2 linked regions of the Drosophila melanogaster genome follow. The protein of the gene in region 1 purifies or fractionates together with the protein of each later gene. This does not show direct contact. Each region holds a gene or a part of one and is shown in the gene's direction. Other genes may lie near its edges. The genes, in order: vari and Fas3.

The links.
Region 2: the proteins of vari (region 1) and Fas3 purify together in Drosophila melanogaster (affinity purification with western blotting, with the first as the bait; one study listed by BioGRID). This does not show direct contact.

What each region holds. Positions count from the first base shown.
Region 1 is NT_033779.5:20,793,873-20,799,063, reverse strand, and holds the start of vari (varicose), read left to right. Parts: upstream 1-2,021; 5' UTR 2,022-2,305; coding exon 2,306-2,411; intron 2,412-2,929; coding exon 2,930-3,027; intron 3,028-3,808; exon of another isoform or gene 3,809-4,056; intron 4,057-4,125; exon of another isoform or gene 4,126-4,258; intron 4,259-4,917; exon of another isoform or gene 4,918-5,004; intron 5,005-5,191.
Region 2 is NT_033779.5:18,317,975-18,323,184, forward strand, and holds the start of Fas3 (fasciclin 3), read left to right. Parts: upstream 1-2,127; 5' UTR 2,128-2,713; coding exon 2,714-2,756; intron 2,757-5,210. UniProt on the Drosophila melanogaster protein: Mediates cell adhesion in a Ca(2+)-independent manner. It plays a role in axon outgrowth, guidance and fasciculation of the developing nervous system. Function in neurons is essential for adult survival, and is important for climbing behavior and activity.

The sequences.
Region 1 (5,191 bases):
TTTTTCCCCCGATTTCGTCACAGTGCATTAATCAGCATTGTGTTACCCTTTGTTATATTGTTAAGGTGCAAATTTCAAATCCATATTTCTCCATGTATAAATATATATTTAAATTGCTCAATTCCCAGCTGAGTCTGCCAATAGGTTGAGTGTTATTTTATATCAAAGGGCATTCAATATAAAACAATTCAAAACGTATCTGGGCATTTATATATTTAAAAACTGCGTTTATTTATGAGGTTTATATAAAGAAACAGTTTAAGAATAGAAAAATGTAATAAACTTCTGTTACCATGCCGACCATTTGGCACTCATTTAACCACTGTGCCTCTAAAATCAAGGACTCTCGATGGCTGAGCTAAATTTTTTGCACATTTGCGGGTTTCTTGCGCACAATGGTCAAAGGGGCGCGAATCAAACGGGGGCCTTGACTTTTGCACTTTTGGCGAATTTTTTTTACAGCAGGACATACAGCAAATCGGACGGAGGATAAAACAAGAACCAAAAAGAAAGATACAAGGCACAAATACCGAAAGACAAGTAACTCACCACGACGGGGGGTGTCGCCGGAGGTGAAGGTGGATAAACAGGAATTTCTGCCTGTTCTGTTTTGATTTTTCGCTATCTCTCTCTTTCGCTCAGCTGCTTCTGCTTCTTCGGTTTGTTTATGTGTAATCCTTTTGTTTCTTTCGATTTTGGCGCGCAATTTTCCTTTTTTTTATTGCTATTGTTTTAGTTGTTGCTAATTACTAATTTGCAATGCAATTTTTCAAAACACGCGAAGCCGTTTTGTTGTGGCCGTTGTTATTGTTGCGTTGGCCGTGTGATTGCGGTTATAGTTGTCGTTGCGTTGTTGTTGGTTGTTGCTAGTTGCTGTTGTTGCTTTTGCAACTTTTTCACAATTTGCATTTCACGTATTTTTGCAGCAGCTTCGACGACTTTGACTTTGTTGCACAAACACAGGCGGAAAAACGGCCACACACTAACGAACTGAAAACAACAAAACAATCCGAGGAAGCTGCTGGCGTCTCTTTTCCTTCGATTTTTTCCCAAGATTGCCAATCCGATTTTACTGCCTGATTTAGTGTACTTTCGCGAATCTATAGTTATTTCCGCAGCCAGTCATTCAAAAACGAAAATGTAAACGAAACAGTGGGTTTACATTAATATATCATCACATAAATATGGGTTTTTTTGAATCCCAAAAGCATCTCGTGTTACTTAGCGCGACAAATCGGTTTCCGACGTATACTCGTTCGCTGAGATGTTATTCCACAGTGGTATTTAATTTGTTTTTACTCTTCATGCGAGGAAAGCACCGTACGCGCACGCTGCTCAAAACGGAATGAAAACAAGAGCTGTCGCATCGTTTCAGCCGAAAAATACCGAAGCATGCTGAAACTTCGAAAAATACCGCAAGCGAGAAACGATGTTTTTTCATCTATGGCAAGTCGACGTCTATTACCCTTTCGATTAATAGAAATAAAATATTGCATATTTATTGAAGTAACGAAGTTTGTTGCATCCCAGAGTTTTGTTAAGGCATAAATAAAGTTCCATAAGCAATTTAAAGACTATTTAATTAAATTGATTTCTAATTGGCATATGAACGAACATTTATTGGTCGTCCAGTTTAGAGTACATATTTATGTACAAATCGAAGTAAATTTTTTATAATATTAACGCACGGTTTATCAATGGCACAAACCATCAGCGATTCCCAAGCCATCCATTTTTAGCTATGTTATAGCTATAGAAAAAGCAATCACAAGCAAAATTAAAGATAATAAACAATATTAAATTTAAATGGCCTGAGAACAGTGGAATGCATTTTTATGACAGGCTTTCGAACTCCGTACATAAAGTACATTTACCGTACCGACCCAACAAAGAAGTGGCGCCGATAAGCACAATATTTAAAAACCGATAGGCACACGTTATTTGACTTTTTGTCTGCAAAAGCTTTCTCGTTTTAAGGAGCTTTGATTTTGGCATCACCTGCAACAAAAGCGGTTTTCAGTTTAGTTAGCCTCTTTCTCACAAACAAGTCGGTTGTTTTTGCGCTGTTGGAGGAGTGAAATTCTTAGCCGCGCTATTGTTTTTGTTGTTTGCGTGGCGTTGTGTTTATAACAATAACAACAAGTGATTATCACTGGAAGACATGTTCTGTTCAAGTAGCTAAGCATATGGCTGGCTAAGAAAAAAAACACAAGGGTTATAACCCTTTTTTGGCCGAAATACGAGACTGTCCTCCGGGGTTACTTCATTCGGTCTGTTATTTTGGCCACCTCCCAGTTCCTTCAAAATGGTTCGGTGGAGCGCGCGGTCGCGGCGCCAAGCTCGCCAGGATAAAGTGGAGCTATTGGCCAGAAACAACAAAGTGAATGGCGAGGACGATACCTCCGATAACGGTACGTGCCAGGGGTGTCCTCAAAAGGAGAATTTTAAGCGAAGTTCATACGAAATTCCAAACTATCATTTTATTGTTGTTTCTTTTTCCTTTAAGGCTCTGTTAATAAAGTTTTAATTTTGAAGATTTCAGTTGTTTAAATAGTTAAAAGATTTACAAACTAAATATTTCAATTCATATTCAAAAAGTGAAACGAGACAAGAGTTATGTTGCATTTCAGTAAGCCTGCTTGAAGTAAATATAATGATTTGTACTCATAGCTAAGAATAATCTGAAACCTGTTTGAAGATATGCGGTCTTTAAATGTATTTACAATAAATCGATAACAAAGAATATGATTATAAAACGAAAAATCAGATGCATGTATATCTAAATATTTCCCTCTAGAATTCCATCATTGTATGAATTGTATGAATTGAAAAGGGTAGCATTAAGCTGCCAAAACGAATGTCATTTCATCTGTTTCCGATTGTCATTTAACGACTGCGATTAATCTAAAACACTTTCGCTCCGTTTTAGCCGCCTTTCGCAACTCGACTGACCTATCCGACCACGATGAGATCTTCCTCAAGGGATTGCTGCGTAGTAACTCCAACACGCCCCACAAGGAACTGATGGCAAGTAGACCAGAACATATAAACGTAAAAAGGCGAGAGAAAATATCTCTGTACAATTTCTGACCCACTTAAACGCCTTCGAGCATCTGCTCAATAAGAAAATTGCGCATACGGTTTTCCACCCATTTTCCATACCCAGCCACACACACGCACACACTTTCCACATTTGTGTTTACTTCATCGATGGCATTGCATGCTGATTTTTCGGTCTAGATAGAATTTTCCGGGCTGCTTGTATGTGCGTGTGTTTGCTTTTCTTATTACATCATTTTCCTTGCCTCCACAAGCGCCAAAAAGAAAAGAAAATCCTTCTGTATTTTAAAAGATTTTCTCGCTTTAGCCATGCACTGCAATTGTTTTTTTTTTTTTTTTTGACTTCGTAATGGCCCATTAGCACTTGCTATTTTATTTTTGCCTTCCTCTTTTGAGTTTTCGCACTAAACTTGACCTCTATTGCCTCGGCAGATGAGTTGCCTTTATGCAGATGGGAGGCATTTTATTAGATCATCGTGACATAACCATTGAAGTGGAAATTATCTTGACCCGACACATTTAGCGCCTCCTCGAAGGTTTCTTACGGTAAAAGAACTGCCAAAAAGTTTGTAGCCTAATCAAATTGTAAATATTATTTGCTGTTCCTGCGGCAAACACGCAGGTCAACTAGAAAAACAATGAGAGGCAGTTACAACCAAAATTAAAACGAATTTGTTGTGCTCTGTATACAAGAAAAATAACAAAATATTTTAATTAATTTTTAAAAATTAATTTTCAAAATTGAAGATGCCCTTTCTAAGATGTAAAGTTATTCTGTTGGCGAATAATAAAGAAGTGGGGAATTAAATAGTATGTAAAAAATAGGCGTAAAACAATGATTATTAAGACCCAAACTAGCAGTACGGAAAAGCCAAATACAACAAATATTATGGAAAGCGACATCGTGTGACGACGACCATAATTAGAATCCAACATTTTCCGAGGCATTTTCCTGGGCAGGCTCATTCGTTTGTGGTTTTCTGCTGTGGTCGGCGGCTGTTGAGAAAGGCAGTGAAAGTAATTAAGCCACGAGTCACGAGATAAGAAAATATGAAATGTCACTACCAGCTCCCCTGTTTTCCTTTCCCCAACTCGCCTGTCGTCACCGCTCCTTGGAACACTCCCCCATTTTATGCAGATTACATAAAACTCGACGCAAGTCGCCGTGCCAACTCTTTGACATCAACGCCCCAAAGAAGTTGTGTGTATTTGAGTGTGAATAAGGAAACCGGTTTGGAAACATTTTCCAACGTAAACACTACGCTTTTTATGCTACCTGCGCTCGAAAACGATGCACAAAAAGCGCCCAGCTCGTTGGCCTACTAATGCAGCTGTGGTCGGGAGATCGAAAAAGCTTGCTATAAGATGCTGTTAAGATCACTGAAGTAGTTGGTAAAAACATTGCAAAGCATGTTATAGCCAAACTTACTTATTTAAGGTTCTGTTTTACTGAACAAAGTATAAAGCTAGTTAAATAAATATGTTTCAGCAACATTTGAATTATAATATTTGGAAAGCTAAGATCAGATTATTTAATTTCAGTATAACATTTAACAGAACATTTTAATGTTGGTTATTGTTATATTTTAGATATACCCCAAGTATGTACATATTTGTATTTTAAAAAGTTTTCTACAGTTTCAAATGGTTTTCATTAACAGAAAGAGAGGGCGCGTCACTGCTGGTTTTAAGTCACTGTTAAGTACAAGCTAACATGTGGATAACAGACTGCGTACAGTTGTAACTTGGCTCACGCGGAGCTTTTTTCACGGCAAGCCAGCGGCAAGCGAACTGAGCAGCAAACAAAGCTAGCCCTAACTTGCTCACTAGCTCTCGCCGCTTGCTTCCATAGCTCGTGAGTCAGTTAGTTGCGAACAGTGCTAAGGTGAGGTTCACATTCCGGTTTGAAACGCGCGCTTCGTTGGTTTCGGCCCATTCGAATGAGTGAGCATTGGTGCCTGACTGTAGTATAGGTGTTTTCACGGTGGTGTTTGTGAGCGTGGCTTAAACGGGCGGCTTGAAACCGAAAAGCAACAGTTAGTTGGTGCTCTCTCTGCCCTCTCTCTTTCGAATTCAACAATGTTCATAAACCATTTTCCGTGTGAAAATTAATAAGCCCACTTCAGGTGCT
Region 2 (5,210 bases), 2.5 Mb from region 1:
AACTCCACGAAAATATTTAATGTGTTGCAAATTTGGCTACGATGGTCAGATTACCACGGCATTTGCACCAAAATAAAAATTAGAAAAAATAATATTTTTAAAGATGACAGTTCGAAAACATCAACATTTATGCAGCTATATTTCTCTAGTCCACGCGACCCTATTTTCATCCAATAGGGTGTGCAATTTCTATGCATTTTTCATGGCTTACCTTTTCATAGTCCAAATATGGCCCCAGGCTTATTGAATGTGTGTGCTTTGATTAAATTTAAAATGTTTGATAATACTATTTGCTGCCTGGTTTTCGGGGGCAAACAGGGAGTGCACGATGGCAAGTGTAATAATGCAGAAGTAAATACATTATGGGGCAATGAATCGAAAATGGAAATCGCACAGGGTGAGGGTGCGAAAATACGGGTCACTTTAAATATTTCCAAGCTTATAGTTGTCCGGCGATGCGGCATTTCAGAGTTCCACAGGTACAGTACACTGTATCTCAATATTGATACACAAGTAATTTCGTACAATAATTTAGTTAAAGCAATATGTAAGGCTCTATAATTATTATGTAAGCTGTACGATCGCTCTATTTGGTAGCCATTACAAACTTCCTAAGTACTGCGTAGCTTACTATTTACTGTTCTCGCCATAAATCGAGCCTGCGTTTACATCATTCTAATCGAAGTGGGTTTCAGGTCACAGTCCCATTGCGGGCGATTCTGGGGATCTGGAACTGTGGCAAACACAGCGGAATATTTGCGGAAGAGGGAGCGGGAAACTGGGAACGGGAATCGGCAACCAGAACGAGGAGCCACTGTGCCAAAGATTCGCTCTCGGTCGGAATTTGTATGTGTGCCATTCGACAACACGACAGGCAAACAAAAGCCGGCGAAATCCAAGGAGGCGGCCGGCAAGGGGGTAGATTATCAAACGACAAATAGACAGAAATCCGGCAGTTGCAGCAGCAACGGCGACAGCCTGAAAGCAAACTTGGCCAAATCAACAACAACACCAACAATACCAGCAATAACAACAAGAGCGAAAGCTGCAACAACACAATGCACAAGAGCCAAACAAATTCAAATCAAACTAAACAACAAGAACAGCGGCGGCAGAAAGTATTACACTGTATGGAGTGCCCGTTTAAATTCTATTTACTTGCAACACATGTTTATGTCGATCCGAAATAATGTTTCTTTGTCCATCTAATTTATATTTATTGATTTGCCTAACCTTAACCAATTGGGTCGTAGCAAATTATCACGCGGTTTAAAAAAAAACATGCTTTCGGAACTTTGGGCCATTGATTCTACTGTTAAATGTACTTTTCATCTATTTAACATTAGATATTAAAAAATGGTATTAGGAATAAATCAATCCATTTGTGGGTCAAATACGACCTATTAACGGCTTCTAACTTGTAGATATTAGGTAAATAAATACTGTACAAACCCATACTCATAATATTTAAATTAGCACCATGCTAAGAAACTTTATTTGAACTCCAGTTATGACGCAAAGGAAAATAGAACACGTTAGTCACCTAAATTTTTCCACCTAAATAGATGTGTCATCAAAACCGGAGATGCAGGCTAAGCTCTAATGAGTTTGTTATTTTCAACAATTCACTTTACATTTTAAATTATAAGCAACAAAATACATATTTATTAGTGGAGCACACTGCAAAGACTGTTTTGCTAGGTAAACGTTGATTAAAAGATTATAAATTCCTAGCACCCACCCAATTCCCTGTGACCTAAATAATAATTGTAAAAATAAATTATAAAAAACTGCAGCTGCTATAAATTGAAACCATTATTTTTAGGTAGTGTGTTCAAGTCCATATACCCCCGTAATTTAAAAGTACCCTGTACACACAGTCGCTGTAAAGCGTAAACTAGAACGAGCAATGCTGCTAGCTCGTCGCGCATGTAGCGGCAGCAACATGCAGCCGCAACATCGACAAACGCCAGCAACATCCAGCGGCAACATGCAACCCCAGCGACTGCATATGTAAAAACGCATACGCCTGGTGTTCGCAGCATGCTGCCGCTGTCGCTGCCGCAGCTGGCGCCGACGTCGCGGCCGCTGCGCTGCCCATGTTGGCAACTTTATAAACACGGAGCGGATTCAGTCGTTTGGTAACTGTTGCTCCTATCAGTCGTTCTCTGTCGCTCTTGGATTGCGTGGGCACATCGGTCGTTCGGCATTTTGGGTTCGGCATTTCGGGATTTGATATCGTTATTCGTGTCGGAATCGTATAAACCTGCGTCCGTGTGCGTTAGCCGGCCATTGAGCACTATCGCTGCCACTGGCATTTGGCCCACCGTGTGTGTTTACAAGTGTGGCATAATCTTCGATTAGCGCAAACCAACCGATCGGATATACCCCTTGAAAATAACAAATAATAGCGAGGAGTTAAAAAAGCATCCAAACACACACTGCACACCCCAAAACACACACACACACCCACACGTCACATAAAAAATATAAACCAGAGCCTCAGCGGCCGTAAAGTGCCACCAAAACGTACTTGGCCGTATATTTTATGCATGAAAAGCTAAAGCAAGTGCAACCAAACGCCTGAGTGACACCAAGAAAAAAAATTCATACACACATATAAGGAAACCCAAAAAAACAAAACCGGGATTACTTATACGCTCACGCTCAGTAGAAAAAATACGCGAAGCCAAAGGAAGTCAGCAGCAAAATCATGTCACGGATCGTTTTTATATGTCTCGCAGCCATCTTAACAGGTAAGAATAAACAACGGCTCAGAGGAAAGTAAAGCCAAAGTCGCGCTCATGAGATGATATCACGCGCTCGTTTAAGACCCGCGCAAATGTGTGAAAAAGTTTAGCTTACTCTCAGATACCTATGTATATGAATAAAAAGATGCTACCCAAAAACGTGTTCTCACCTCGAGCTGTATAAAAATATCATTGTTGAACGGCAAACTTGATTGATGAGAAGACATCGCCCCGCGGGGCTGTGGAAAGTGTTGTCTTTATGAAAGTGATGATTGAGTGAAAAGTTCCCTGTCATAATATCCATGAAATTGATAGTTCCTCCTCTTTTGGCGGTTGACCCGGTTTGGTCCATAGCTCCAACTGCGCATGCTCAGAGTGTGACCGAAGCTGTTTTGAATCTGTGTCCGTGCCAAGTGTGACCTTTCGCATCTTGGGGTACAGCTGGCATTTGCCATGCGCCAGCACAGGTTGAAAAGGTCAATTACACTTTGGTCTTCTATGGTGAGTCCAACCAAATTGGGCTTGCCCGAAAGATCTTCGCCGCAGATGATTCACGGATCGTTTATTTTAATTAATCGGTTTAGTAGCTGTTTTAATGGATTTTCTTTGGTTTTGTGTTCATACGTGATAGGGTTTGATAGCTTTGTGTGCCCATAAGAGGTTTGCTTGGTTTTATGACAGTATTAGACTGTTTAATAGTTGTACTTTATTGGAACCGACTTGTGATCAATAATGTGTTTTTGAAATGTATTTTGCCTTGGAATATAATTTTGTACTATATCAATACTAGTTTCCATATTTTAGCATTGGCCCCCAATAATGTAGAATCTAAAAAAAACCTTGTAGATGGTAATACGTCTCAATATTCGCTCCACTGTAATTAGTCTTTATTTGGCTCCTTTTTTAATTTATTCTAAGTGCCGCATCTTGTGCCAGCATGCATCCTTGAAATTAGGAGACAACATCAGCATCCACTTGAGCATTACTTTCATCTCTTTGTACCACGTACGAATGCGGATATAAATTCTATGCCATCATCAAGGCCCAAAAACGCTGTCGGTTCTATTTAATTAAAATCCTTCAATGTTTCAGCCGTGCTTATTATATTGTACCCTCTTATTACGTCCTTGAAGAGCGAGAAGGATATATGGGTGCAGAGCTAGCTGGGGAAACTGAGACAGATTTCTCATTAGCTGAAAAGAAGATGCTGGTTTATGCCAAAGCCTAACAACATTAACACAACACACGGCACATGAAGCTGTTGCTTTTGCAGTTGCCTCATTACTGCCACAGCCCCTCGGCAGATTCAACCGCCCAATGGTAAAGCCACCCCCCCCCCCACAGAACCACCCACATGACGTGACTTTAAGACAGCCGCGTTTTATTCAGTTGCTAAGCCTGCCTGGAACCTTTCAAAGGTTTACGAAAATGTAAATGCAAAAACTGCACACAAAAAACCAAAATAAAGTACACCAGGAAATCCACTGCAGGTTCAACCCTTCTCCCTATCTCTTTCCGCTGTCCAGTTGCCGTCTTTTTCTAGCAGGGCTTTGCCACTTCACACTGAATACTTTTACATTTTTATAGGACTGACGCATCGCAGACATCGCATCAGTTGACTGCCGGCTGGCTGTTGTCTTGCAATTATAAATGTTTAATGCAGCTCCGGCCATGGCACCATGGACCGTTTTTTCAGACGGGCATGGGCCGGAAATTTAACTATCCGACCCAAAGGATACGCTTAAGCGTGCAAAAAAGGACAAGAGTCTCAATAGTATTTAACAATATTCTATGGGAATTGAATTTCTTGTGGTAATAGTGTTTATTAACATGCGAATATTGCCAAACGATTTATTTATCGCCACTGTTTCTGGATACTCTCCAAATGTACTTAAACTTTAAATTACTACCCCTTGAGATAACTATCCGCTTTTTTTTAAATAAAAATAAACTCTCCATGGCATACTCCACTTTCGGAACTATATATGTATATGACCAGAACCCACATAAAAATCAACCACAATTTCCTTTGCAAACTTCCCATTCAATTTTATGGACGCTCTTTGTGCAAGGATATAAAAAAGGGATGAAGGAGACACGAACTGCAACATGTGCAGCATGTAAATAAGGCATTGCATCCAAAAACCATTCACAGTAATTCAAATGGCCAAAAGGAGCTGCAGTCGTGACGTATTTAGTTATGACTGCCTCATCTAGGAGCGAACAAAAAGCGGTCCAGCATTTATGCATTTTAATGGCCACCAATTGAGGCATGTTCTATGCTATATTTTGTACATACATATATCTACATACATATATGCCATCTGGTATGGTCACAAAAAAGATCCAGGCATTGAATTAAATACGTGCAGTGTTTGCCCAGTTTGCCGCTTCTAAATGTGACTCGTCGGACAGTGACTGTTACTGCGAACTGTGACTACTGCACCTATATCTATTCCT